Mus musculus: one gene and its partner. Each later gene encodes a partner of the first gene's protein in a complex. Links are inferred from orthologs where the notes say so. Each region holds a gene or a part of one and is shown on either strand. Other genes may lie near its edges.

What was found.
Region 2: Tert (region 1) and Nop10 share a complex: the UniProt entries of both Homo sapiens proteins name them as parts of the telomerase holoenzyme complex. The link is inferred for Mus musculus from reciprocal best matches to the Homo sapiens genes TERT and NOP10.

What each region holds. Positions count from the first base shown.
Region 1 is NC_000079.6:73,633,274-73,637,095, reverse strand, and holds part of Tert (telomerase reverse transcriptase), read right to left. Parts: intron 2,945-3,822; coding exon 2,749-2,944; intron 1,677-2,748; coding exon 1,496-1,676; intron 740-1,495; coding exon 560-739; intron 1-559. UniProt on the Homo sapiens protein: Telomerase is a ribonucleoprotein enzyme essential for the replication of chromosome termini in most eukaryotes. Active in progenitor and cancer cells. Inactive, or very low activity, in normal somatic cells.
Region 2 is NC_000068.7:112,260,820-112,263,634, forward strand, and holds Nop10 (H/ACA ribonucleoprotein complex subunit 3), read left to right. Parts: upstream 1-1,106; 5' UTR 1,107-1,204; coding exon 1,205-1,258; intron 1,259-1,493; coding exon 1,494-1,634; 3' UTR 1,635-2,079; downstream 2,080-2,815. UniProt on the Homo sapiens protein: Required for ribosome biogenesis and telomere maintenance. Part of the H/ACA small nucleolar ribonucleoprotein (H/ACA snoRNP) complex, which catalyzes pseudouridylation of rRNA.

The DNA of each region.
Region 1 (3,822 bases):
AGATAGAGATGCAGGAGGATACTCCACGCTTCTCCACTCCACTACCGCACATTCCCATCCCACGTTCCAGACAAAAGACCCTGGGGCATGGTGGGCCTATAGTCCTCTCGCTATCCCATTGCCCCAGATTGAGTACCCTAGGACAAGGAAAGCCTTGAAGACCCTCGAGGCCTACAAGGGCCCCTGGCTAACCCAGATGCTGAAGCATCCAGGCCCTGGTGGTAGAGTCAGGCTTTACTTCTCTGAAGAGGACCCAGAATCCAAAGGGTCTCGCACAGAGCGGAGACCAGAGAGGTTGGAATGTACTGTCAAGGGAACCCATATAGAGCTCAAGACTGTCCTGGGAGCTAGTTATCAACCCCTCCCCCACCATGGGGTCTTTCTGATCTTGAGAGAACTGGGGGCCATAATATTTTTGGCCTGTATAGGGTAGCAGGCTAACACTCCCAATCACCAACAAGAGGCTGCAACAGGGTCACCCAGCATTGCTTATTTCAAGGAGGTCCCTAGAGCCCAGACCATGAGAGCAAATGTGATAGACAGGAGTCCAAATGACCACCTTAACAAAGTACATCCTGGGTGTCTGGTCCAGAGCACGCACACGCAGCACAAAGGCCCGCCAGGTCCTGTAGATGTCATTCATACCCAGTACAGAAGACCCCATAAGGTGAGGATGTTTTGTCCGCTCATAGTTGAGCATGCTGAAGAGAGTCTTGAGACGCTGGGTGAAATGCTGGGCCTGTGCCAGGGCCATAGAGGACACATTAGAAAGGGACCTGGCAGACTGTTCCCTGACCACCCCGATTTCTCAGAATAGACTCCTATAGCTCAGCCAGAGCTCCTCTAGAGCCAGAGTCTTAGAGGATCTATCTCACTAAGTCAATTGACTGTATGTGGGGCCTTCATCCAACCTGCCTCAACCTGTTCTCATCCTCTTCCAGGGGTAGTGCCTTCTAGAACATGCCCACTGGGCTAGAGTCAGGAGATACTCTAGATGCAGGAGGATACTCCACGCTTCTCCACTCCACTACCGCACATTCCCATCCCACGTTCCAGACAAAAGACCCTGGGGCATGGTGGGCCTATAGTCCTCTCGCTATCCCATTGCCCCAGATTGAGTACCCTAGGACAAGGAAAGCCTTGAAGACCCTCGAGGCCTACAAGGGCCCCTGGCTAACCCAGATGCTGAAGCATCCAGGCCCTGGTGGTAGAGTCAGGTTACTTTGCCCCCCCCCCTGGTTACTTTGCCCCCCCCCCCCCAGCATAGAGGCCATATAGTGCCGACCCTACCTGGCAGGGTCCCTGAGGGATCTCCAGGGTTTGTGTCCCAAGCTCTCTGGGTCTTGGGACCATCTCCCATCTCTAAGCCCTTTCCACATGCTGGGTTTTTAGACTTAGGAACAACAGGTTACTTAGCCTCCCTCAGAACTTCATGAGCCCTTACTTAAGTCAGAGTATAGACTCAACCATCAGTACAGGGGCCAAGTCCGGTCACCTGCTTCCTTCTGCCCAAAGCTCTGGTACCCATGCTATAACTCATGTTCACAATGGGCCGCAGGCCGTTGGGCTTGGGGATGAAGCGCAGTCTGCAGATGGGCATGGCTAGCCAGGTGTCCTGGTGATGCCTGACCTCCTCTTGTGACAGCTCCCGTAGCCGCACTCTCTCAAGGTGTTGCCTGTTACGGAGCGCACCGTGGAGTTATGACAGGAGCATGCAGGGAGTTCATGAGACATGTCCCATCAGGGTGGTTGGGAACTTGGAGCACTTGACACCCGACCATGCTATGGGGCTACATCTAGGACCAGAACAACCCACACAACCCACACACCCCATAGACCTGTCTGGACAGGGTTCATGACACGAAGCCTGGGTCGGCACCTGGGACATCTGGTCCCGTAGTCTGTCCTTGGTGTTTCCTTCTTGGGGGTCCCATTGGCCAGGATATTTTTGAAGCAATCCGCTGACTCTTATGGATATCTTGGCTTAGACACAGGTATGAAAGCAAAAAGTGTCCCTGCCTGCCCTCAGGAAGCCCTGTGCTGGTTGCTAAGGATCCCATAAGCACAATGGGTGGGTGATATATGATCCATAGCTAAGGCTGGACCTCAAGAAAGCTAACATGGAGCTGGGTGGTGGTGGCGCACACTTTTAATCCCAGCACCCAGGAGGCAGAGGCAGGTGGCTCTCTGTGAGTTTGAAGCCAGCCTGGTCTAGGGAACTAGTTTCAGGACAGCCAGGACCACACAAAGAAACCCTGTCTTGAAAAATAAAAACAAAACAAAACAAACAAACAAACAAAAATAGAAAGTTAACATGGTAGTCTGCTCTTTGCAGGCCTTGCCTAGCTGCTCCACTGCCCTCTCAGCTTGGCCTTCTGCTGAGACAACAAAACTCTAGCTCAATCAGCACAGAACCTCAGCCACTCAGAGCCCTGCCACTTCTCAGGGTGGACCCTTGTGGTTTCCCAGTGAGGAGACACTTCCTTTCCTTCAGGGGTAGACATGAGGTGGAATCCATCAGTTCCGCTCCCGTTTGATAAAAAAGCTCTCCTACCTTAAGGATCTTATAGATGGTACAGATCCAATTTATGATTTCACAGGCAATAAAGCAGGGACTCCATTCCATGGCTACAGGGAATCTATGCCCTCAAGGTCCATGCCCAGGCTAGCAGGTGCCACACACTGTGCACCGGTGCCTCTGCGTATGCACACAGGAGACACTGATACCTGAGGGATGCTGTGTGGTACCTGACTCCAATGCTCTGCAGCTTGCTCCACACACTCTTACGGTAGAAGAAGAGCCTGTTCTTCTGGAATGTGCTCTCTGTGATGTAAAAGAATGACCTAAGCAGCTGTACCACGTATGTGTCCATCAGCCAGAACAGGAACGTAGCCAGGATCCTCTCCCTCAGACGGTGCTCTGCAGCGGGGACACGGTCCTTCCCTGAAAGTAGTAGATACTCAACATTCCGTGACTCACCTCAGATCCACAATGTCTAGCATGGAAGCCATAGGTCCCCAAATTAATAAGCTAGTTTAACCTTTGTGTGTGTGCTTTCTTTATGCTGTAAACTAAAGTTCCCTGACAAAGCCATGTCTGGATCCTGCAGGCCGACTGACTACAGATGAAATGCTGCTGACTGACAGGGAAATGTTCTTGAGGCATCCTTCATCCCCCAGTAGCAGCCTCTCACTACCAACCTCTGTATCTGATGTAGCTCCACTGTGACGAACCGGTGATCCTTGTAGGCTAGATTGACTTAGCAAACCCTAGCTTCTATCAGCTCTAAATCAAATTATATCTTCAGATAGGGGATAAGGACATGGCTCAGTTGGTAAAGTGCTTGCTGGAGGGGCATGAAAACCGAGTTCAGTTGTCAGAACCCATGTTTTAAAAGCCAGGAGTGGTGACATGTGCCTGCAGTTCCAATACTATGGAGGCAAAGACAGATGAACTCTAACTGAATCAGCAAGCTCCAGGGGATTAAAGAAGACACGGAGTGTCAACCTCAGACCTCCGCACACATACACAGGCAAACCTCAGTGGCGGCTGGTACTATACTACCGGGTCACTGACTACACACACTCATTGCTACTGAGCAGTGCAGTTCAGAGATGTCTAGAACAAAGTAGAGAACAGGCTGCTCCTACTGCCATGCTGGACATGTGAGTTCCGTGCACCATAACAGCTGTATACACTCTGTGTATCTCCAGATACCACAGGGGCCTCTTTATCTAGGGAAAGGTGGGGTTACCAGAAGTGATGAATATGATGGGAACTTGGGAAGGAGAAGGGGGATCCCAGGAGGACGTACGTACAAG
Region 2 (2,815 bases), on another chromosome or scaffold:
TTGTTTCTCGGTTTAAAAAAGGGTTTCACTGTTTAGAATACTGTCCAGGTAGGCCTTGGACCTAGGATGTTAGAAATCCTTCCGTTTCAGCCTCTGGACTTCTGGGGTTACAAGCACGGGTTAAGCTCCCGGGTTTTTTTAATGTATCTCATGAAAACGGCAGTCGAACTGTCTATAGTCACTACTTAAAAAAAAAAAAAAAAACTTTACGATTTTTCTGGCTACAAGTTTAGTATGCTACTATATTTTTGCCACTATAAGTAGTGCTGCAATGATCATTTTGCAATATCTTGGTTTTAGTTTTTAATTCTTTTTTTTTTTTTTTTTCTTTTTGAGACAGGGTTTCTCTGTATAGCCCTGGCTGTCCTGGAACTCACTCTGTAGACCAGGCTGGCCTCGAACTCAGAAATCCTCCTGCCTCCGCCTCCCGAGTGCTGGGATTAAAGGCGTGCGCCACCTTAAACTAGAATCTTATGAGACTTTTCAGTCTTTTAAAAACTGGAAATACCCCGAGAAGGCGTACCTTACTTGCTATTATCTGCTACTCACCATATAAGAAAGAGCTGAACTTGTGGTCAGGTCCCGAGTTTGAATCTTGGTTCGATCCCTAAAACAAAATCCACCGGTTCACAAGAAAACCTTTCCGTTCTGTTCGCTTTGCATAATATCGAATACCCATCATGCACTCTTTGCCGCCAATACTCTGAAATTGGGCGGGAAACCGGATGTAAAAAGTAGGGTTCAAAAAAAAAAATCTTAACTTCTTCCCTAGGATATAGGAGGTTGAGAATCCTTGAGTCCTTGTTTCTCCAGGAATTCGAAAAGTGGTGCCTCTGAAATGGGTGTGCAATTTGAAATTAAAGATAGGACTGATATCAACAGTGAATGATGCATCAACATTCAACCCACATCCATCCCTACTTCCTAATCCCTGGCAAGTGGCTGGCACACAGTGGGCAGTTCCATGGATCTTAATAACTTTGCAAGGTTGCTGCTAGCTGGAACCCAAGGCCAAGCAAGACTTGCTCTACTATGCCCCCTTCTGGTCACATGGATATGACTGGAGAAATGGACTACATTTCCCAGGATGCCTTGGAGAGACTTCCGTCCAATCTGGAAGGTTGTTGGCGCACGCGATTGAAGCGGCGCACTCGGAGTAAACGCGGCTGGCGGTAGTACGTGTGTCTTTTTGCTGAGGGCAGTTATGTTTCTCCAATATTACCTCAACGAGCAGGGCGATCGCGTTTATACGCTGAAGGTAAGGGGAGGAGGAAACAGCTATATATCAAAAGGACGAGAAATTTAGATGGGAGGAACAGTTGGAACCGGCCTGCGCAGCCCACTGAGTGGAGCCATGTCGGAGCCAAAACGTGGTAGATAGGCAGTGGCTTCTTTTTCTGACCACGCGATCTCCTGGCCTCAGGTCACCCATTTTCTTGTTTCTTTCTATCACACCACTCATATTGAGATATTTTTTATTTTTCCTTGAGCAGAAATTTGACCCTATGGGACAACAGACTTGCTCCGCCCATCCTGCTCGGTTCTCCCCAGATGACAAATATTCAAGACACCGAATCACCATCAAGAAACGCTTCAAGGTGCTCATGACCCAGCAACCGCGTCCTGTCCTCTGAGGGCTCGTTAATCTTTTACGCTGCTCATGCCTCGGCCTATTATCAGCAACCAAACGCGTCAATCTGTAAGCCTTGAAGCCTTCCCATGCTGTTTGGAATCCTATCTCACTCACCACGTGAATGAGTCTATACTGATGGGCCTCGCCTGTAAAAGGAACAATATTTTTCTTTCTTTTTTTCATGCCAGGTTATTAAAGATATAGTGAACTGAAAGTTCATTTTGTGTGTTGTTGGAGGAAGAGATGGGGGAAGGGTAGTACCGTTGGTAGTACAAGGCCACTTGAGAACATTCGTAAGCCCTCATTGTAGCAATAGAACTGTGTGCCATCGACGATAGGGTGTTGGGGGGAAAAAGGCTGTGAAAGACTCCTACAAAGGTCAGCATTCCCTGGAAAACTACTGTCTAATTGTGGGCCCTTTAAAAAATATTCTGAATTCCTCAAAGAGTAAAAAAAAATGTATGTGTGTTTTAGTATTTTACCGACATGTGTCTATGCCTATATGTGCCAGTAACCATCAAGACCAGAAGAGGGAGTCAGATCCCTGGTGACTAGAGACTGATAGCTAGTCTTTCTGTGACTGCAGGGGATAGACACAGGTCCTCTGGGAAGCACCCCTCTCTCCAGTCCTACCACTACATTTTGAGTTCTGAGATAACAAGTATGCCCAACCCTGGAAGTTTTCTTTTTCTCTCTTTAGACAGAGTCTCTATGTAGAGCTGGCTGCCCTGGACCTCAGGTCTAACTGCCTCTGCCTTTGAACACTATCTTAAAGGTGTGCGCCAGCCTGTGGATGTTTCTTTACCAAGCCAGTGAAATCTGTCTGGTAGGAGATATGTCTTCTTGGTTTTTTTCAGTATTGGATACAATTAATTCTGTCCTTCGATTGCAAAAATAAAACATTAGCATTGTTAGCATTACTTCTATGCCACGAGCTGTGCATACCAAAATAAAGACTTCAACCTGGAGGTAGTACTAGTCACCATGGAGAAAAGGAAACGTGTGACTCTAGCAATGACTTAGACAATCCCCTGGATACACATGGCTTTAGGGAGCTTGATTATGTGTTTGGGGGCAAGAGGAAGAGCTGTCAGAGTGAGCTAGGTAGTGCATATAAATACATGCAAAAAGACTGGCATGTGTCAGAGAGCAGAAATTGCGCAAAATGTCATTGTAAAGTCT